Linked DNA regions of Drosophila melanogaster. The protein of the gene in region 2 interacts with the protein of the main gene of each other region in a pairwise test. Each region holds a gene or a part of one and is shown on either strand. Other genes may lie near its edges.

What was found.
Region 1: the proteins of CG15239 (region 2) and Acp95EF interact in a two-hybrid assay, tested with the Drosophila melanogaster proteins (one large-scale study listed by BioGRID).
Region 3: the proteins of CG15239 (region 2) and CG5823 interact in a two-hybrid assay, tested with the Drosophila melanogaster proteins (one large-scale study listed by BioGRID).

Annotation. Positions count from the first base shown.
Region 1 is NT_033777.3:24,224,260-24,229,779, forward strand, and holds Acp95EF (accessory gland protein 95EF), read left to right. Parts: upstream 1-4,715; 5' UTR 4,716-4,732; coding exon 4,733-4,750; exon of another isoform or gene 4,751-4,812; coding exon 4,813-4,953; 3' UTR 4,954-5,020; downstream 5,021-5,520. Other genes in the region: Spps (Sp1-like factor for pairing sensitive-silencing), read right to left, coding at 1-2,396; CG13609 (uncharacterized protein), read left to right, coding at 2,865-3,959; Spase22-23 (spase 22/23-subunit), read right to left, coding at 5,159-5,520.
Region 2 is NC_004354.4:3,882,293-3,892,893, reverse strand, and holds CG15239 (uncharacterized protein), read right to left. Parts: upstream 8,727-10,601; 5' UTR 8,420-8,726; intron 4,246-8,419; 5' UTR 4,232-4,245; coding exon 3,352-4,231; intron 3,204-3,351; coding exon 2,602-3,203; 3' UTR 2,408-2,601; downstream 1-2,407. Other genes in the region: VhaAC39-1 (vacuolar H[+] ATPase AC39 subunit 1), read right to left, coding at 10,425-10,601.
Region 3 is NT_033777.3:17,530,162-17,537,576, reverse strand, and holds CG5823 (uncharacterized protein), read left to right. Parts: upstream 1-2,989; 5' UTR 2,990-3,458; intron 3,459-3,519; 5' UTR 3,520-3,653; coding exon 3,654-3,954; intron 3,955-4,246; coding exon 4,247-4,317; intron 4,318-4,377; coding exon 4,378-4,857; 3' UTR 4,858-5,252; downstream 5,253-7,415. Other genes in the region: l(3)07882 (lethal (3) 07882), read left to right, coding at 1-221, 283-388; P5cr-2 (Pyrroline-5-carboxylate reductase-like 2), read right to left, coding at 730-806, 879-1,544, 1,726-1,804.

The DNA.
Region 1 (5,520 bases), on a different chromosome or scaffold from region 2:
CGCTTCTCTCCCGTGTGCGTTCGTCGGTGGCGCTGCAGTTCATCGGAGCGGGTGAAGCGCTTGCCGCAAAACGCCCAGGAGCAGACAAATGGTCGCTCGCCAGTATGCCAACGCAGGTGAGCCCTTAGATGGGAAGTTTTCCCGTATACCTTATGGCAGCCGGTTATATGGCATATATGCTGGCGCTTCTTGTCCGAGTGTTTTTCGCCATCTGTACAATTGGGACAGGTGCAGGCTACTCGCTTTAAGCGTGGTTTGGGCTCTCCAGTCGCTGTTCCACCGCCGCCGCCAGTTGCAGCACCTCCGACGCTGGCCACACTTATGTTCATATTGAGATGGCTTTGTGACGGCGTTGTTATAGTCGTCGTGCTGGTGTTCGTGCTCCTTATGCTGGCAGTTGCTCCCCTAGCCTGCGTCGTGACGGACACCACTTGGCCACCAGTCGGCGCAATTGTAATCTGGGTGCTTGACGTGGTCACAGCGTTGACCTTACTTCTTGCAGGTAACGATACGGGAATTGGTTGGGTTGTGGCTGGGGTATTCGGTGTATTCGTCGCTTGCTGTGGCAGGGCTGTGATCTGAATGGAGGCTGGTATGCTCAGGCTGGACAGGGAATTGCTTTCCGTATGCAGGAACTTGATCTGCTGCTGTTGCGGTGAGGCTGTGTTTGGAGTAGAGGCAGGTGCCGGAGGATTACCAGTTGCGGAAATGGGTCCAAAGGTATCCGGCGGCTCTTGCTTGATGCTGGTGATCATTTGCGTTGGACTCTGCGGCTCCTGCTTGGGCATCACCTGAACTTGGCCCTGAGTTTGCACTTGAGGATGCGACATGGGTAGTTGGGTTAGTACTTGCTGGAAGTTGGCTGGCAGATTAGGAGGCAGCTGATTGGCGTGAATGATTTGCACTTGACCCAGGCCTGGGATGTTCTGGATGGGTAAAGCCTGAAGATTGGGCATCTGCATTGGTGTGGGCACACCAGCTGGAGCAGGAGTGGGTGCGGTAGGCGCATTTGGGCGTAGTTGGGCGGGAATCACGGTCAGCTGTTGGCCCTGGGCATTGGTAATGGTGATGGGCTGATTGGGCGGCAGTTGTCCCCCCGCCGAGGCATCGCTGATCGCCTGAAGGAGCTGCTGGTGCTGCGCCTGGACCTGTTGTTGTTGCTGCTGCTGTGCCTGTTGCTGTTGCGCTTGCTGCTGCTGTTGCGCCTGCTGCTGCTGTTGTTGTTGTTGTACTTGTTGTTGCTGCTGCTGGTGGGGATTCTGGATATGTATAATGTTGGCATTCGGAGGCAGCTGAGGATACGGCATTGCCAGTTGCACCTGCTGAATCTGACCGTTGGGCGTAACAATCTGGGCTATCTGTGAGAACTGCGGGATGATTTGCATCTGCGAGGCGGAGGGCATCTGCAGGGATTGCGCCTGCATCAGGTTTTGCAGTCCGCCGCTCGATGTTGCCGCTGCCTGGACGGGCACATGTACAGTCTGGTAGATGGTCTGTCCGTTAGCAGTCTGAACGGGAATCTGCACAGCAACCGTTTGTTGCTGCTGCGGCATGGCTGGCGCCGGAAACTGCACCAGTTGCGGCCGCATCTGCAATTGGCCGTTCTCCAACTTTATAGATTGCCCGCCGCCTAGTAAATTGGAGATATTGGAGATGTTTCCCAGCAATCCATTCGCCGCCGCTACCGAGGTTGGTATCTGCAGGTTTGTGCCCGGTATGGTGATGCTGCCCGGCAGCTGACCCGCTGTCCCACTATTGGTAACTCCCGATCCATTGGCTCCAGATGCATTTGTTCCTTGTGCCTGCTGTTGCACTGTACCCTGGTGCACTTGTTGTGCCTGCTGTTGTTGCTGAATGAGATTGGTGACGGGTATTTGAATGTTGGTGCCGGGTATGGTGATCAGCTGGGTTTGCTCCTGGCCCAAGCCGTTCAGCTGTTGCAGCTGAATGCAGTTAGAGGCTGCCGGATTAGCTGCCATCTGGGGAGCCCGCAGAATTTGACCGTTGGGCGTGATAAAGGCCTGTTGCCCGTTGAAGTTGACCGCCTGAGCGGTGGCCAGTTGTGCATTGAGGTTTGGTATGAAGATGGCCTCCTGGCCATCAATGTTCACCGTTTGCATGGGCATGGGCTGTACGATCTGGAACATGTTTTGGGGCATGCCAGCGTTCTGTCCGTTCCCGGCAACCGCTCCGCCTGCAAACTGAGGAGGCATTTGGTGAATGTTGATGATCTGCTGCATGGTTGGTGTCCCGGGAGCACCGTGAACCTGCGTTTGTGAAGCTGCTGCACTAGCTCCATTTGGTGGAATCGTCGCCTTGCTGGAACCGCCTGCCGCCAAAGGCGTGGCGGGTGGCGCACTAGTCGCCGCACTGGCGGCACTCTTGTACTGCAGCATGGCAGGGCTTTAGATGAGATTTGGTCAATCACAAGTGCTTGGAGCGAAACATGTTCAGTTTTTTTATTCGCTCAGACGCGCTACTCTGCCAGGAGATTGGTAGCATTTAAACCAAGGTGGCACACATGGGGTTATGAACACTGGGATGCGGGGTGCCGACGCTAACATTCAAACACATAAATAACACGAAGTCTAAAGATAATTGCGCTGCGAGACGGTTTTAGCGAGTTTTTAGTTTTAATTTTGTTTTGACACAAACGCAGAAGAAGAAGTGAGAGTGATTGGCCAGGGTTGCATTGCGTTGCATCTCGATGGCCGCCAATCGACCAACCAGCCAACCGATAGTGCGATACCAATAACAAACCGCTAAAAGCAAGAAGAAGCATATCACAGATAAACAAATTTTTAACCGACAAGTTGCCTATCCGACAAAATCCATATTTAATTAGATTGCATCTTGAAAGGGGCATGGAGCCGGTTCCAGAGGAAGCCCGAGGAGTGGGTGATGACGAAGGGGAACTCGATTGTCTAACACATATGATTGGGGCGTTGCTTTTGCAAAAAGAACCGGAAAATCCTGAAAATGGTGACTCAAAGGAAACAATTTGGAGTGGAGAGCTCGAATGGGAGGATGCACAGATATTGGATCAACCGAAGACTCTGCACACGGTCCAATGCAAAATCTGCTCCATGGTTAAAGAAGGTCAGCCGGAGATCAACACGGAGAACTGGCCAAACAAGCTGAAAACACAACTGATACCCAAAAAAGTGCTGGGTAAAATTGGCGAACAATTCCTAAAGGATGCCAGGATGGTTGTATTCCGATCCAGCCAAGGAGAGGTACTCAATTTATTGATCACGGCGATGAGCTCTGGTTTCGCTGGTTGCATCCACTTCCCCTCCAATCCCAACTGCAACATCAAGGCTCTAATTCTCATCTACTCGCGCGATCATCAAGCTTTGGTTGGCTTCATACCCAACAATGAGGATTCGTTTAGCGAACGACTGCAGGAGATTCTTCAGGGTGCAAAACGAAAGCCGGGCGTCAAAACACCCAAGCAGCCACAGCCAGAAGAACCGCCTCCTGTGGAGGAAGATGCCATTATAAATGAACTCCTATGGACTGGATCGCTGAATTGGTCGACACAAGCAAGTTTAGAGGAGCCAAGCATTAGTCACAAGCTTGAGTGTTCCGTGTACATAGCTATAAAAAACGGTGATCCCGGGATCAGTGCGGAGGATTGGCCAACTGATATGCCTATGGTTTTGATGCCTTCAATTTATCTTGGTCAGTTCGCCGGAGCGTTTATAAAGGACTCGAAACTTATAATTCTCCGATCGACACCTGGAGAAGAACACGACTCGCTAGCATCATCAATGTCCGCCGGCAGTTGTGGCTGTGCCCGATTTTCCTCCGAGGTCGTCTGCAAGGTTATCATGCTGCTGTATTCGTCCCCGAGGAACGCCTTCCTGGGCTTTATTCCGAGAGATCAAGCTAATTTCGTCAAGCGATTGCGGGAAGTATTAGACGAACATCGCCAAAAGGCGAGAAACAAAGAGTAAACAAGTATCTCAAGATGATCTCAAAGTATATTTAAAATATTTATTTGAACTCTAGGTATATCAAATTTATAGTCATCGAAGAAAGTATTGTTTTATAATTAGATATTTTTTTTTTTTTTGTTTAATTATTATAAATATAGACCAAAGAATATTTAAACAAGATACGCTCGCACGTCCCCAGTGGGAAAACATACCAAGGCTAAAATATGTAATCAGATAAATAATCATAAAACTGCGAACTCCTGAATGCATTTACGCAAGTTTGTATTACGAATGTCTGTCATACGTTGCCATATTAAAACTTAACCGATCTTATAAATAAACATTTTTGATGTGCATCTATTATGTTTATGTTCTACAACTAGGTCAAGGACAACTGTGTTATCGCATGTCAGATGCTGCAGCATTAATAGACATTAAAAAAAAAACCCCGACTGTAAAATAAGTAATCTAATGAATGCTTCTATTTAGGAAGTTTGAAATAAAAATAATCTTCCGAATGCAAAATCCTTTCCTTTTCGTATTAGTTGTGAATTGATCGAATAAGTATTTTCATATGTTGGGTTCATCATCTTCGTCTTAAGGATTACATTTTCAAAGGTCAATTAGTCTTTTTCATTGCGTAAGCCTTGTAAAAAATGTTAACGAATTTGATTCAGTTTTAAATTTTGAAACGAACCCATTCGATGCGGCCTTGAATACCAGTCATATATATATTGGAGATCTTTTACACATTTTTAGTATAGTTTTCGATTTCTTTAGCGGATATCAACATGGCCTCAGTAAAATTGGTGTGTTGGTACTAATCATATCTGCGTTCCAAAATCTAATATTTTTTAAAATTTTCGCACAGTTCTTTATTGCTATTTTGGTTGTAGCTCTATCCCTTAACACCTCAGCTGCAGTGTTGAACCCTAGTTCGACTGCCAAACCCAGATTTGAGACGAAAGACCGAAAACTAAGTGCTGGCGCTCTGCAGTCACTCGCTGGTTAATTACTATAGAAAGCTATAGATAAAATTGTCATTATAAAAATGGACCAAAAATAAATTATTTTCAACGAATTTCTCTTAAGTTTCTTTCGTTTGGGATACAGTTCGAAATCTTTACAAAGATATTTTATTTGGGGTTTTATTAGATAGACACTACAAGCTAGGGAACCCGGGCGGAACCAGCTGTATTTAGCATTAGCCCTAAGCTCTAAATGGACGAGGTGGCATAGTCGGCCGGGAACTTGAACAGGTGCTTTCCAGTGGCCTGAACGGAGGGAAGGAGTCCCGCGTTCGGAATGATGTTCCACGAGAGGTATAGCGATACGTTGCGGTTGTCCTTCAGGCCATTCCCGTCGTCCCAGAAGTAGTACTTGGTGTTCATGTTCTTGAAGTCCAATACGGCATTGTCGCCGCGCAGGATAATCTTGTCCCACAGTACCACCTGGTTGAGTTGATTGGCCGGTGTCTGGTACTCGGCGGTGAGATACAGGAACAGCTGCTTCACGTTCCAGTTGAAGATGCCTGTGAGATTCGTTTGCAGATCGAAGGTCACGAAGCCCAAGTCGTGCT
Region 2 (10,601 bases):
GACCATAACTCCAACGAAATGACTGTGCTGAACTCAGCTGAAAGTCCAGTGGCCAAGAGGCTTAGCGAGTATATATTTAACTGGATCAGATTTAATGGGGCATCGAATTCGATTCGTGGTGGGGCAACAGAAACTGGACATAAGCTGGGTCAAGGGGAGGAACCCTGGACAAGGATCTGGGCACACTCACTCTAGCGGACAGGAATCACTACGGAACTTCACCCACTACTACCTACTACTTCAAAATCGAGACTGATTTTACTGCTTACCCCCTGCCTCCATCACCCCCCCCCCCCCACCACCACTCACCAACCACAAGAGCACACAAACAAAGTGTAATACATACAAAGTACATACAATACATACCGGAAACGGAAGAATATCAGAATATCAACCTGACAATCTGAACTTCAACTTTCATAACCTATTTCGCGTACACTATCGACAACACGATAATTTAAGAATACATTTACAAGTTATAGAACCTATCGGTTGGATAGGGTCGAATATACAAAACTACTTGAATACAAATATATATATATATATATATCTTATATAATTATATACCCCTATTATATACATATATGTATACAAAATATATACGATGAAATATTTACACACAAGTTTTACTCCGTGCCATTTGAGTGCGATAAGTTAAGTTAAACCAAACTTTATACGAATTTCGGACAAGTTCAGCGGCATTTTTATGGGAATCCATTTGACTAATGGTTAACTTGTTCTTATATATCATTTAAGTGTGATACGCGAACGGAGATTTAGTTATAGAAAGCCAACTGGTGCTCCCTACAATCCTGTCATTTATTTCTTGATCATCCCCCAACCCACTTTCACTCCGTTCGAATCAAATCAAAAATTTAACAAAAACAAAAAAAAAAATAAAAATATGTTCCCAAATAGTGTCATTTTTTCCTTACAAAATTGTTTACAAATCAAAAGACGCTGTAGTTGTTTCTTTTATACACGAATATACACTATGAATACTTGAGATTTTTTGATGTACGTTAAACATTTATGATATGTGTGTGTTTGCAAGAACCTCTATTTGTAATTGATATCCATATATATATGTATATATATCTATATATATATATATATATATATGTGCATATATATATATAGAACGACAATTTGCTCTTCTCCCGTCTTAATTCCGAGTGATTTTGAAGTTTCCAAGCAAAGCAATTGGTTTAGGTGAGCAAAGGCAAAGATGGTTCCACGTGGAATATATTGTAGAATACATATATGGAAACCACGATTTAGTACGTATGCGTAAGCATTTGTAATTCATATTTTTTTTGCGAGAAAACCTTCATTCAATCAAATTGAATGGGCACTTTTAACCATAAATAAATATTTTACTCTATGTGTAATTAATTACATCTTGTATGGCGGCATTAACCGCCCGTATTTCAATTGGGGGAAAGTGGGAACATGGCCAACAGTCCCGGGCAATTAAGGCCAAAGGGATTACGGATTCGATCCGTACCCATCACGCATCCGGCCACATAACTGCAACGCATAGTTTCCAATTAAAAGTTACTCCAACCCGGAATTTGACAAATGGTCCGGCACTTAATCAACGCAGCACCAGCACCTCGACCTCCAAAAAATGCTGTTTTCTGCGGCTTAGTCGGGATTCCCCAGCTGAAAGTTATGCCCAGAGGACCAAGGGCGAAAGTGGGTCCCATAAATGACTAATCAAAATGCCAGCGATGCCGAGACCTCCGGAAAGTGAAGGAGAATAAAAACATGGATAATGGTTGGCTGGAACATTAATTATGCTGCTTCGATGGTGGCTATCCTTTATATGCTTACACTTATATAGGAAACGGAACTCAAAGTGCCGTAGTCATCGCTGGCCCAGGAAAAAGGAGTACCTTTTACTTGTAATTAAGTCCCAGATTAGTTACACGGAATGCGAGTCGAATTTGTGGTAACCGTAGCTACGTTTTAGTGACTCTAAACTATTTCATTTATTGTTGCCCCTTCTATCTTTTATCTAATATTTTCCCCATTTGTGTTGCCCCACAGTTTTGTGAATCATTGTCAAATACATAAACTCGTGCTTTAAATCTCAAATGCAACTCCTGTGACTTGTGGTGAACTTGGGTTCTGACCATGGCCAGCTTTATATTGTATATATCTTGTCAACTTCTGTTGGCCTGCGGCTAAGTCCACAGTTCCACGCAGTGCAGCTGGAATTTCGATGCAAATTAATTCGGATCAAAGTGAAGGCCCTGGAACGGGAAACGTGCCACAGGTGCGAAAACAGCACTGACTGCAAAACCTCAATCAAATCAGAAATGTTGGCCGCAAAAGCCCGAAAAAGGCCAGCATTCCGATTTAGATGTAAATGAAGTCCAGCAACCGAGTGGGTCACTTCACTGGGTAGTACATTTTTCATTTTTATTCGTTATAAATTTAAAATAAATTATCGAAGTTGAAATAAATATGTGAAATTTCGGGGGGCCCTTAAGCGCTACGACCTATGAACTATGAACTAAATTTGTGTCGACCAGCTGCGGCGGTACAAGGTATTTACACTATTGCCCAGCATGTTGGCAAACTCGCGCTGGCCGCTCAGTTGAAAAAATCCAGGATGCCATTGAGGAGCTCGTAGGCGAATCCAGTCTCATCCGTCGCCTCTGCGGCGGCCTTCTTCTTCTTGTTCTTTTTCGCCTTCTTGGACTTCTTGGACTTGGGCGTGGTGGAGTCTTCATCGGCGGCAGCTGTGGTAGCCGGTGTCACCGCTGCGGCCACTTCTCCCTCAATCGGTGCTGCGGCTGCAGGAGCAGCAAGAGGAGCAGCAGGCGCAGCAGGTGCAGCAGCTGCAACAGCCTCGCCAGCGGCAGGAGCTCCCGTATCGTCCTTGCTCTGCACCTGGTCGCCGTTCGTCGTAGTCGCGGTCACCTGGCCATCGGCAATTACATGCTCGCGGGTTTGGTCAGCAGCCGCTGACGCAGCCGCAGCCGCTGGCTTCTTAACCGGCTTCTCATCGTCGTCATCGTCGAGCTCGTCCAGAAGTCCGGCCAAACTAAAGCCACCGTAATCAGCATCCTCGGGCGCCTCGGCCTCGTCATCATCGGCATAGTCCTCGGTGTCATCGTCGTCATCGGCATCCGCATCCGTATCGTTGTCGCTGTCATAGTCGTCCTCCTCATCCTCGTCATCGTCGCCACCAGCTGACACCAAAAACAAAAAAAAATTATAAAGATAACGGAGTTAGATTAGATATTTTTAGCATGGACTAGAGGAGTCAGTTCAACGAGGCGGATACGCAATATATCGAACAAAAATATTATGTATACGTATATGAACAGGCCAACTCACCGGCAAATCCAAAGAGGTCATCATCGTCGTCATCATCGTCATCCGAACTGGGCTTCACAGGCAACGGCTCCGCCTCGGCCACCCGGACTCCTTCCGGTCCAAACTTGAAACAGGAGACGCGCAGGGAGGCCTCCACCTCGTCGTCGGAGCGCAGTTCAAAGGCCAGGCATGCCTTGAAGTCCTTGGACTCCTTGGAACGGGACAGACCATAGACCTTGCCGCAGAACTTGGAGTAGCCGCCGGGCAGGCCCACGCAAATGGGGCGAGCCCGCTTGCTGGAGATGCGACGAGAGGCCAAGGTGATGCCACCGTATTTGAGGGACACGCTCATCTCGTCGTTGCCCACATAGGCGATCTTGGCGCAGCCAGGTCCGCTGGGCAGCAATGGCAATCCGAACTTCCGGCAGCAGTCGCAGTGGCTCTCCGAGCACTTGCAGAACTTGCTGATGGGATTCTCCGGCTTGGCGGTGGTCGGTGCAGTGGTAGGCTTGGCCGCTAGAGTGGTGGCCACCGCCGGAGCAGCTGCCTCTGCGACCTCGGGAACGGCAGCGGCTGGGGCGACAGCTTCTGCAACGGAAGCTGCAGCATTCGGGGTATCCACATCACCGCTGGCTATCTCATTGGCACTCTCGTCGATGGACGAAGCAGGCGACACGGCATTGACCACCTCATCCGCCACATCAGCGACATCCTCCACCTTGGGCGGCTCCGATTCCGGTGGCGCCACATTGGGATCGATCTCCTCTGGCGGCAAATCTAACTGCTTGAAGTTCTCCGATATCTTGTCTGTGCGCCGGAACACGGTCTTGGCCTCCAGTTGAAGTATGGAGGCACTGGCCACCAGGAGCAGCATCAGTAGCATATTCCTCGAGCTGGTCATCTTGATTTGCGAATCTTTAACGAAACATGCAAATCGAAATCAGTATGCTGACAAATAAGGGATTGTATTGTAAGCCCCAAAATACAATCCCCTTGCAACTAACACACATATGCACAAAGTTTGAAAGTGCATATGCTATAAGTTAAAGCACTATTGTTGACTCTTTAATGGGTATTTTATACTAAAGTTAACAAAATTACCTCCGAGAATGAATATAGTGAAAAATATAGTGAAAAAGCGAGCTCAATGGCGATTTACTTTGCGTTTTCTGTGCGTAGGCAGAATCCGTTTGCGAAGCGGAATTCAAAATCGAAATCGAAATCGAAATGGAAATGGAAATCGAAGTGGAGCGGTTGAGGAAGGTGGGTACGGGCACAAAACCAAGAGGTATTCCAAAAGTCAACAGCTCGGAAATCGCTTTCAAGTGGCCAGCGATTAAATTTCACCGCATTCTTTCGTCTCGTTTTTGGCCGCCTTGTATTTTGCAAAAGAAATGAATTTAAATAAATATTGACATAATTTCTTTCACTTCTCTTTTCATCTCATCTTCGGTTTTTGCGTTTCCTCCCCCCCCTCCTCCCTTCTCCACACTTCCAAATGCAAAGTAAACAAATTAACAGCGAAACCCAATGGCTTTAAAAACTAAAAGCCAAATTTAACAACGCATCGCGAAGAGACAAAAAACGAGAGTGAAATCTCTCTGCAGAGTTATTTAATTGACGAATTGGGTTAGCTCATTAGAATAGCCCCCATATACTAGCGCACTACCTATACATACATATGTATGTAGGTGTACCTATGTATCTCCATTCATTCATTTCCGCAGAGCCAACAAGTTGGAGCTCGTTGCCAACTCAAACTGGGCTCTTTTCATTTTTCATTTTTTTTTGTTTTTTGAGTTTTTTTTGTCGGGTGGCAGGGGGAGTCACCGATGGCAAAGTGAAATTTCAGCTATTGACTCATTTACCTCAAGTGCTTGTTGGCATGGGGAGGGCGGAAGGGGAGGGGAAGGGGATTTCGAAGCGCCCCAAGATGTCCAAATCAATTAGCGGCTCTTAACTGGAGCTCAACCGACGGAGAAACCCGAAGGGCTTGGACCAGAGCCAGAACTATTTCAAGATAAATATGCAAAACGATTCGGATCGGATGGCAGTTGTTGGGTGTGGGGTATGGTCACGACCTAGAAACTAAACCAAGTTTTCTATAAAACAAAAAAGAAAACAAAATATTGAATTACAATTAAAGATGAAGCTCATAGAAAGGCTCGTTGGTTCCATGCTATTAAACGCATCCGTTTTCTTGGGAAACGAACTGCTTTTGATTGGGTCTATATATGGATTTGACCGATTTGGACTAATATTTTGTCCATTAACCTATGCTGCTGTGTGGATTATTGTTCTCTTTTTCTATCTGTTTCTTATCTTTCACACTCTTCGCCGAGGACAATTTGTGTAATCTGGATGGGAATGGGCCACAGGGGATAATGGTAATTCATTCTACTATAACCGGCTTATTACCGCCCCCCCTTCTAATGATGCCCATTTCCTTACATCATTTTCATATTCATTTCCATCATTTGTCTGGAAACGGTAAACAACGCACAGAAATCTCGGCCAGCTGAACCTGCTCCACAGATTCACAGCTCCACAGCTCCACAGCTCCACAGCTCCACATTGTTCCACTTTCATTTTTTCTGAGCACCGCCTCCTGCTTCTCGGCTTCTGGGGCCCTCTTCAACCGTACGTGGCTCGCAGCGTGATATGTGGCATCTGGACATACCATACCATTCCATTCCATTCCATTGATGACCTTCCGCTTGGGCGGAACAACAAACACCATTTGTGACCCAGTTGGTGGCTGTTTGGGCAAAGAAAGTGTGTGTGGCTAAATATGGCAGTGGCCGAAGTCCCATTCCGAGAATGGGTGTCTGTAATAATGGCCACTGGCACTGGCAGTAGCAATATGTGACCACAGTCGAAGTAACTTGCTCGTAATCGCAGGTCGACTTGGAACCGAACCGAATTCAATGGGCAGATGGCAAACAGTGGGGACTCCCCTCAAGCCAACGCCAATTCAATGCAAGTAAATTTCATTTGGGATGCCTCAATTGCGAGTAACACGGCCAAGAATTAGTTGTATAATCCAAGTAAAGTTAGCATAGACACAGTTTAAGAATAAGAATAAGCAACAGTTTGTTATTGCTATTGAGATTGAGTTCGTTTTAGGCAGGACTCACTGTAGCCATTCTGCTGCTGTGCTTTTGGCACACATTGCTGCATGTTTGAAATGCAATCTGCACTTTGGCGATGCACTTTGGCTTTATAATAATTTCACCTTAAAGCCGATCGAAAATTCCAATACGTTATCGAAACGCTCGAAAGTCCAGTTTGGCATATTGCATTTGAAAACGAACCGAAAACGTATTATAAAAAGCCCACGTGTGTCTCCCCTCACCTCTTGTTTGTTTTTCAAGCAGTAGTTTCGAATTTTGTCAATAAATTATAACGGTTGTGAAAAGTTATTAGCATTAATTAATTATTAAACGCATAGGAAAATAGAAAGTGAGACAGTGGTTAGCTGTGTGTGTTTTTTTTTTGGAAATTATCATAACACAATCAGATTTTTTTTTTTTTGGGCGGGGGGAGCTTGTCCATCGAAATCGAACTGTTAATTATTCAGTGCGGCAGCGAAAGTGTAAGAGTGATGCAAAAATTCCAAAGGGAAAAAAATGCTTTTCTATAATGATATTTCTTTTTTTTTATTTTGGATTTTTAATGCCACAGCATGTGTGCATCTAATCCACGCCTGGTGATTACGAAACCAGCGAGCTGCGATTATGCTAAACAGTTTGTCAGACTTTTACATCCTTCGGTGTGGTTTATATAATCCCATACATACGTACATACATACGTATGTATGTATGTGTGTAGTTGCTAGACTCCAAGAAATTTGCATAATTTCGTGCGGTCTTTGTAGTTGTTTTTGTTTTCGGTTTCGTTTTTTTTTTTACGACTGCTCTGAGATTTTCTGCCTGATTTGTGTTATTTCTTGGCTCCCTGTGTTGATGTGTGTGCTTACCACTTTCTTTTGCCAGTGTGTGGGTGAAATCGCTGGGCAGCAACAAGAACAACAACAACCACAACAATAAGAACATAAAGCAAAGTGGAGGTAAAATCAAAGTTACCATAATAATGATGACCATGTCGAGAGACCTATGCCAAAATTAAGGTTAAGTTCTTTAATGCAGCCAGCGGTGAAATTTCTGTTCGCCATGGGCGTGGGTAGCCCCACCAAAAGTGGTCGGTTAATAGGAAGGGGGGGGGGTTAAACAGGGAGAAAAAGTGGAGGAGGGGCAGCGATCGGCGGTCGGCATTTCCGGTCAAGGCTGACCCAATGGACCAGAAAATTAGCCCGTTTCGAGCTAAAAGCCTTGGAAACCCGCAGTTAATTTTTGATATTATATATATTATATTTCATCCTGCTCGAATATTGCTATTGTTTCAGATATGGAAATGTAAGTATTATCACCTGATGTAATCAGATAAAATATTCAATGAATGAATGAACGCTTTAAACGAAACGTGACATGTTTTCGGAGAAAAAACATATCCCTAAACATATCTGTTGAATAGCACTTGGTTTTTTGGACCTTGTTTATGAGAACAGAGCAGATAATCTTCGCAGCTGACTTTGATTATCAATTTGGTAAAACTTGCTATTTTACACCACCTGTGGCAGCGATCGGATATCGGACAAACAGTTCCACTTTCCAGCACCTGCGACTTTGGACACGGGACGTCGGACGGCGAAGAATGCGGTGATGGGTTGTAGAAAGTAAAACGACGACGACGCGTCTCTTTTGTTTTGCCAAATTCAAATAAGTTAATGACAAGGCAAGAAGAACGCACAGCAAACAGAGGCAGAAGCGGATGGATGGCCGACCACATTTGTACGTATGTACGTACTACGTAGATGGAGATCTGGGGAGTCTTGCGGGCCTTCGCAAAGTGCGGGGCCAAACTGGTTGACACAATTCCACAATTCAACAATTCCACGCCGACTGGCGGGTTTTACGTGCAATTGCCTCTTTGGCCGTCTTTGGCGTTGGTTTTTCCAACTCCAGCGGTCATCATCATATTGGCCCACTTCAATGCCAATCGCATTTCACCTCTTTGCGTATATCTTTACCTATAAGTAGGTTTATCCTGTTATCCAGTTATCCTAGTTATCCTGCTATCCTTCTAGCCCGCTCTCCTGTGCGCTGTAACTCCAGTTGCTGGTCAGACACACTTCCGTATTGCACTTGGAACACAACAAAAAAACTATAGCACTCCGTGTGTGGCAAAAAAAAAAAAAAATAAATAATATTGGAAAATAGTTTTGAAATTGGCTTGGCGCGCGTGACGATTGGTTTTCCCGCTCTGCCAGGAAATCGGATGCTGCTGCTCTTTATAAGACTGAACTCAACGCTCGGGGACGCGGAACTCGACTGCGCGGACTTAGAGCCACCAGGCCGAGTTATGGGCGATTCCACGGGTCGCTCCCCAGCTGATCGAGCCAACAACAGCAGCTTTCTTTTCGCATCGAACGTGTTCGGGGTTCGTCGGTTGGTCGGTTGGTCGGCTGGTCGACTAGTCGGTTCTTCAGCTCGTCGGCGGCACCTGCTGCTCCATAGCGACGCCATACGCACTGGGCCAAGATCCGAAGCTATGGCCTGCTATAGGCCTGACTAACGGGAATGCAGCGCTCTACGGGCACGTAGCTCGTAGCATGGTGCACGCAATTAACCCACGACACAGAAAGAAAAGCTATTGATTTTCCATTGACTGTGCATAATCAAAGCAAAGATCTGAAATCCCATCTCCGGTGCATCACAACTTGGCCAAGCACAACTTTATATATATACATATTATGCCTTTCCAGCTCAGATCATTACCGCTTTTGAATATCTTAAATGACAAGAAGTTAACGCAAGGTATATACATCTGTATATTCTGTGTATATGCTGATGGAATACAAAGGAGGATTTCTTTGTCTAGCCCAAAAGATTCCCCGGTGAGTAATGGAGCAGTGGACGCACCCTGGAGGTATGGAAACCTTGAACTCCGCGAGCAGACAAAGAGTAGCAGGATATCCTTGAGCACACGCGCCCTATAACAACTGTCTTCTTTATGAATTGAGTGAAATATGTGATGCCTTCATGGCAATCCCTCATACTTGCATTTCTCATAAATCTCTTTACACGTAGACTTTTTTTTTAAAGTGACTCAGAGGGATTAGCCAGAACTATGAACTAAACTTATTGTCTGCTCCCATGGACTGATTAAAATACAATCATTCTGCAGAAAACATATCTTTGGAAATGCTTTCTACGACAACAGACTTGATATCATTCGATAGCCAATAACTTGTTTGGCATCTTATCCAATTTTTATGTAACCCCAAAACGACCCGTGGACAGTTTGTCCAACCGATTGGCATTTTAAGTTTGGCTACTTAAGCATCCAAAAGAGAAAATATGTATAAAACTAAGATCGAAAGAAAAATGCTTTTAGATTATGCAAAAAACAAACAAGAAAGTTGGAATCAGAGGCCATCGTTTTAGTCAGAGCTATCTTTTTCAAAGCAAATGCATGACTTTGTATTGGCATGTATTAGTATAGCCATATAACTCAGTTATTAGACAGCGGCGTTTAAGGGAATGTTTGAAAACATGTTTTAATAATTGATTTATCATTCACATATGTAGTTCTTGTATAAGTATGCATTTTCTATATAGTAGTTAACATATGGTGCTGATGTTTCTTTTCTCTACATTCAATTTGAACTGTTTTCGTTCCGTTCGATAATTATACATATGTACACAAACACGAAGCCCTGAAGGGACACTATGGGTCTCCCGAATACATATTATATAGTTATCTATTGGGCCAATGCTGATAACAATTGGAGGAGGAGCCGCGGAAACTGAGAAATCTAGGCTTGGGTCTGAACACTTGACAAAAATTTGCCTGGACCGGCAATAATACTCGCTACATACAAACATACAGACTCGGTATCATAATATAATATACATTAAACAATTCAATAACAAGGGTAGAGGGACAACAAAAAAAAACGCATATCGAAAGGCAGGAAAAAAAAACGTGTAATATTATTTGTATGCCAAATGCTTAGCGATCATCTAGCGCGCTTAGAAAATGGGTATGTAGTTGTCGATCTTTGCGCGGTGCTTCTGGGCAACGCACTCGGCGATCCAGACGATGTTACGGCACTCCTGCTCCTTCAGCTTGAGGTATGCGTAGAAGACACCGAAGTGGAACTGCTGCAAAAAGGCGTACACGTCCAGCTTCACCTCGTGCTCGAAGAA
Region 3 (7,415 bases), on a different chromosome or scaffold from region 2:
CCCTTGGCTCCGGCGGAAAAGAAACCCAAGGCTCTTAGGCTGCTGGAACCTCGATTCGAGGCGGTTTACGATGACAAACGTCGTCCCAAGATGTCCAAGGCCAAGGAAGAGCGGGCCAAACTGCTGCACAAGATCAAGCGCGAGAAGAAGGGTGCCATTCGAGAAATACGCAGAGATACGTCCTTCGTTCAGATGCTTAGGCTCAAACAGACCCTGCAAAGGTTTGTGTTCCATTTACAATTTAACCGTTCCTTTCTAATCTATTGTATTTCATATCCACAGTGACAAGGAGCGCCACGAGAAGGTTAAGCGCATTTACCAGGAGGCATCCGTGCAACAGGGCGAGCTCAATGAGCTGTCCCGGGCCAAAAAGAAGAAGAAGTTCTAGGCTCGACTTTGAATTAGTTATTTTTAGCTAGACTATAAACAAAGCTGAGAGTAAAGAATATAGCAGTGTTGCTTATATTTTAGTATCACGAAATCGGCCTTCACAGTTTTTATAGTTATGCAAAGCTACTAACCCAGATTAAGCACAAGGGTGGGTCGATTAAAATGAAACATCTCATCATTGCTCTTTGAAAGCACTATAGCACCAACATACATTTCCAAATTAAAAACATGTTTCTTCAAGAAGCAACAAAATTTAACGACTTCCTTTAACTACTATAACTTTAATAACAAAATTGACCCACCCCAATGTACGTATATGTATATGATAATCCTATGTGCCTACTTCGTCTTTCCCGAGATTTGCCGGCATCGCAGAGTCGCCTGTTCCACCGCTCCAGACACCGCAGCCCGAAAACCTGCAATCGACATCAAAGGTTGAAGTGGCGGCGATAAGCGAGTGCGTCATCGGCGTCATCATCCCAACTTACCTGACAGCTCGAGTTGTCTGAGTGCCGCTGCTGTCGATCCCGCCGGACTTGTGACCCCATCCTTGAGTTGTCCGGGATGCATACCACTGTCCCGCACCATGTGACCTGCGCCCAGGACTGTTTGCGATGCCAAACGATAGGCCAGATCCCTGGGCATGCCCATGTGAACGGCTCCATCCGCCAAGGCCTCAATCATCACGAATACATAGGCCGGTCCACTTCCGCTCAGAGCAGTAACCACATCCAACTGGGACTCATCCACCGGCTCACAAGTGCCCACGGACTGCAGCAGCTTCTGGGTAATATCCGCATCTGCATCTGTGGCCTTGGATCCGCGAACGAAAACCGAACAACCGGAACACACGACAGCCGGCAGATTGGGCATCACACGGATGACGCGAGCTTGTGGAGATAAACTGGACTCGATGGTGGACAAAGTGATGCCCATGGCCACGGAAAGGAATAGTTTGCCCGAGCTCAATGGCTGAATCTCCGACAAAACCGAGGGAACCACTTGGGGTTTCACGGACACGAAGACCACATCCGATTGCTGCACAACGGGTGCATTCTTGATCACTGTTTCCACTCCCAGGGATTGAAAGGACTGCAGGGAGAGCTTATCTGCCGGATGGACGCTGGCTATCAGGGTATTGGGTTTGGCCAGGCCTAGGAAATGAATTAGGAAATTTGGCGATTATATGATGAAATCCTTAACGTCCTATCCTTTTGTATCTAATTATAAGATGATGTTAGTTCATATATATATTGCATATCCAAGTGTGTCTTATCTATTGTCTAGCACAAAGTATGTCAGACTACAAATCTATTTTATTAGTGGCTTTCTCACCGGCCGCTAGGAAACCCTTAGCCAAAGCCTTGGCCATATTCCCGCCTCCCAGGAATCCGATCTTTCCGATTGCCGACATTAGTTAATGGGTTAAAAAGTCCGCGGACTGTGAGTACTGAACTTTCTGCTGGTGGAACGGCAACTGTGCGCCCGCCGCCGGCGTTGACCAAAAACAGACGCGAGGATTGATAAGAAATCTTGCCCGGCCAACCCCCTCCCAATCCCCTGCGTTGAGGGAACAACACACCCAGCGATCTGAGCTTATCATTGAGGTTCCTATGTGTGGGTTCGGCAATCGACAGCGGGGCAAAATAATAATAAATACTAAGAACTTTTCACACATTGTAAATAAAGAAAACATTAAACTATTAATAGTGCTGTTTTACAATCGAATTATATTTGAATAAAAATAGTCATTAAAATCCACTTAAGATAGAGACAAATTTTTAATAGATCATAAATTACAACCCATTATTTAAAGTGAAGTTATTATGATTTCAGCTTATATAACAATCAATTATAATATTGATTGATAATATTGATTATATATAATATGTAGTTTAAAATACAGTTCAAGTGCCGCGATTGCTAATATTTTGCCCGCCGTTGTATTTCCTTATCATTTAGAACAACTGTCATCCGCAACTCATTCACCCATTAATCGGCGTGACGAAGTCCAAATTAATGCGAGATGCCGATGCCCTGTAATCCCTGTAATCGTGCGTTGATCCACTTTCGTGTTTTGGATTCCATTTCTATAAATTTCTATATAGCTGTACTCTTTGGCAATCCTTACTTACCAAGTTTCAAAAACATTCCGCACTTTAAGAGATAACAATCGTTATCAATGTGAGCGTGATAACAGTAGAGGCGATATACACATGCTTATTTGTAAAGGGCTACATTAGAAAACCAAAGTATTTACTTTGTATATTACAAAATATTGCCATAGGGATTTTGGGACATACCCGGGTATACTAGATACGTTGGAAAGTAGATACCGCCTAGTAAGCAATTTTCGAAAAGAGTTCTTTCTTCTTTTTATCATATCTCGCATTAAGTAACGGGTATTTGATAGTCCAGCAAATCGGCTAAAACTAAAAGATCTATATTTACTGTTTTCAAAGAATTGCACAGATTTGAGAGTCAGTTAATTAGCGGATACATACACCACTCCATCCAATTTTCTCACCGTATGCAGCAAAGTTTCCCTCCTTCACCACGTGGTGAGGAAGCCAACATAGACTCTGGTAACACTAAACTGGAGATGAAACTTACTTCCGCACACGGTACCACTAAACTCTTCATGCCAAAATAAAAGATTAAATTAAGATATTGCCAGCTCCAAACCCGGATATATAACCCCACAAGTGATTAATACGAATTAGGGGCATCCACTGTAGCGGAGTAAGCTCGTGATACTACCAAAATTTACCAAAGTCAAGCCCTAGTTGTCCCCTACACGTGTGTGAGTGTGTGTGTGCGGGTGTCGGTCGTGTGCGCCTGTATATGTGCGTTGTTTTCTCACTCAATTTCATTGCAATTTAAAAAAAAATCAACAAAAACGCAGTAACAGCAGCAACAACAATTAGAAAACGCACTTGTTACCGAGGTTGGCTGCCAGTACTAGAAAAGCAAACAATAAACAACCGAGCTGGCGAGACTGAAATCCATCGCATGATAAACACACCGAACAAGAATCTTCGACAGCTTCGAAATTCTGGAGAAGGACGGTACGTATTGGTATTTATGCGACCAGATACGAGTATAATTGATTTGCAAATTATTCCACAGGGCCACGTCGCTATCTTATCTGCTACAGTGAGAGAAAAACCAGTAGGCCAGTCGTGTTCGATCATAGTTTAGGTTTTCAAACTTGGGCGGTAGTAATTAAGTTCGTTAAAAATTAGCAAAACCAAAACAACACCATGTCCTCGTCGTCGACGTCCGGCGGCCGGAAGCAACCCACTGCTGTGTCGCGCATGAAGCAGGACTATATGCGCCTCAAGCGGGATCCCCTGCCGTACATAACCGCCGAGCCGCTGCCCAACAACATCCTCGAGTGGCACTACTGCGTCAAGGGGCCGGAGGACTCGCCCTACTACGGCGGCTACTACCACGGCACCCTGCTCTTTCCGCGCGAGTTCCCATTCAAGCCGCCATCCATCTACATGCTGACGCCGAACGGTCGCTTCAAGACCAACACCAGACTGTGTTTGAGTATATCAGGTATGTGTCAGTTCCATATCCGTAGGAGTCCGAATCCACAGCTAGAAATAAAGCGGATTGGTTGTCACAGTAGTAGAACATTAAAGAATGGGTAGTAACTACAGGCTTAAAGACTACCATTAACTTTGAACGCTGAATAGTTTTAGTTATGTTTGACGAAGCCGATGGACTTTGTGGCTTAGTCAAACATGTTTTTTGCGACCTTTCAAATAGATATTCGTGTATCTGTTTAGATCTGTTTAGATTCTATTGTTCCAAACATATAACTTATCAACCCTATTGGGATTTTCAGATTTTCATCCGGACACTTGGAACCCGACTTGGTGCGTAGGCACCATTCTCACTGGACTGCTGAGCTTCATGGTGAGTTATTACGAATACATGATCATACGTTTGAGTAAGCCAATCTTAAATCCTTCACAGCTGGAGAGCACACCCACACTCGGATCCATCGAATCATCGAACTATGACAAGCAAATGTTTGCTCAAAAATCACTAGCATTTAACCTGCGCAACACCAACTTCTGTGAGCTGTTTCCGGAGATAGTCGAAGAGATCAAGCAGCGGCTGCGAGGAACACAGGCGGCAGCTGCTGTGGACGGACCCGCTGCCAATGGAGTAAAGCGTTCCAACGGACTGGCCAACGGAGCGAGCCTGGCATCTGCGGATGGCAATCTGGCGGTGGGCGGCTTGGCCAATCCACTGAATGCAGCGGACGCAATCGATGGCGGGGCGGCGGGTCAGGCGGATTTGGCCAGCGGCGGAGGAGCGGCGGTCCAGAATAGTGCACGGAACTCCTATCTAAACTGGCAGTCCGTCTATTCAAACCTGGTGATCATTATCTGCTTTGCAATTTTTGCCCTCATTGTTAATTACGTGATCAAGAACCTGAATCAGGAATAGAATTACCGACACAGCCTCTATATTTATATAAAGAAATAGTTACACATCCGTATGCGTGTGCATATCTAATCTAGTTTACTTTAAAATAGTCTTCGTGGATTGTATACCGCTTGAGAAGTATTTACATACCCCGCTTGATTCAAAAACAACCGCACTAGACCCCCGGCATCCATTCCCACGATTCCCACGATTGCTGACTTAGTCTGAAAATTATCGGCAGCAAAATTTGAAAACACAAGAACACACAATTCAGAACTCGACTTGTGAAATTTAAAAATTGTTTTGTTATGTATTCATTACTATTAACGCCTAGTTTAATGCAACGTGAATAATGCCAGAAATATGTTTGTAAATGAATAAAGAAGCCCGGCAACATATGAGCTCGTGTACAAATTAACCAATATATGTGTGCGTTTCTTGATTATTAAATGGATCTTCATTTTCAGTCGCCACAAATTGCTTGGATGTTGGATGATTCAACTTGTATAATAAGTTGTAATTTGTAGTTGGCTTTTCGCTGGCTAAGCGGCTTAAGTATGAAGCAAAGTCCGCTGGCAGTCGGCAATAATTTTTCCTCACACTAGCTAAGTACGGCCAAATCCAATAAACTGATGCCTGGCTGGGCAACAATGTTACACATTTAAACCGCTTACATTGTTGGCCATCTTAAGCCGAAATTACACACATGACGCTTATTACTCCTGGAAGTGGGCGTTGCGGACCAAGTTCGATGGTTACAGTGAATTGTGGTTACCACAATCTATGTCTTTGAAGTAAAAACAATCTATGTCTTTGAAGTAAAAACTACAGAATAATACTATGATTTTTTTTTAAAACTATCTATAACCAGTATATATATTTATACGATATATTCGCTTTGTAGGAATATTTTATAGATTTAAAGTCGTTTTAATAGTTTTCCAGGAAAATAAAATACTTGCTGAACAATAACAGATTTATAGAGAAGAGAGTTTAGAATTATTAGAAAATTCGGGAAAAGAAAATCCGATTACCCAGCAGACGCGGCAAACTCCTTTAAAATAAAAGGACGCAGCGACGACTTTGTTTTGCACAGAAAGTTTTTTTGGCCAGACGCTGAAGTTGATAATTTAACTAACGTAAATTTCAAGTTCAGGCAGCATGGCAAAGTTTCCGACTGCGGCTGGCACTCGCAACTTTTCAAATTTGGTTGTTTGTTTTATGAACTTGCAACAGTTTAAGCCAATTTCGGCTGCACTGAGGGAGAAAACCACCAGAAGATACACAACATTAAATGATATCCCGGATGGCCAAAGAGTCCAAGACACACAGACCCCATAACCGAGACATTTCTGGTCCTGTCATCGAGTATTTTTATGCGGGCTGCCGATGGGCGGGGATTTCGGAATCGCTTGTGCTTTTTGCTCGAAATTTATTTTGAGTACCCACCAGGATGGCAACTGGCGTCTAAGTCCGAAGTGTCTCCTGCACTTCCGCCTTATCCTTTTGATGCTCGGGCGGATGTGCAATTTTTGCTCATTTGTTCTTGGCATTTATAAGCTTCAGTTTGCCCGAAAAGAGGTCACTGGCATTGTGGGTCCAAGGAGTTCATTGTTCGCCGCCGAGCTGAAATCCCCAAAATGTGCCAGGCTTAAATGTCCAACAAATAGCTGCAGGACATTAGTTGACGGCAATAAATGTCGATGCTCCCGGGCTAAGCGGCTTATCCACAGCAAATATAAATATGCGCGAGTAAGCTTGCGAAAACAAAACACAAATGGAGTGGTCAACGGCTATTCGATGCGATGGCCACAAGGGGAAGTCGGCCCAACGGGGCTATAAAAATAATGACCAAAACAAAACCAAGTGCCCACGGCCAAGACGGAAGGCCAGATAAATAAATGTAAATAAATAAAAAAACAAATGCCATAATCATTAAGTACGCCTCATTGGCGGACATGTGCCCCGAAGTTCCTGGCCATCTGGAGCTGCCTTTATGCGTTCCGTTCTGCACAGGAGAAAAATAAATAATGGCAAAAATATATAGGGTTTCAATATATGGAGAGCCCATTAATACGTAGCTGATTTCAGAACCAAATTTTATTAATATAATATAGGGTATATCTTACGGATATAAAAAGCAAACACTTAATATTAATTAAATGGTCATATTAAAATATGTTAATGTTAATATGTTAAAATTTGAAATTGGTGTTTAAATAATGTCTTACTTTATATTTCTCATTTTTTTTTCTCAGTGTCATGTGACTTGACCAACCAGGGGTCGTAAATGTTACACATCCGCACACAGAAAACCCACACAATCGCAGGCCAATGCGCATATAAATGAAATGTTTGTTAAATTATGTGGGCAATATACGTTTATGCCTGTGTCAGTGTGCGCAATAAACGATAAAGCATAAACTTAATATGCAAAGGCCACGCGAAAATAGCAACAGCCGAAATGTATGCTATGTTTTCCCTTTCGCGTGTGGGCGACTGTGTGTGTGTGTGTGTGTGTGTGCGCAGGCATATGAGCATTCGCTTTATCAATGCATAAACAAATGGACATCAGCTGC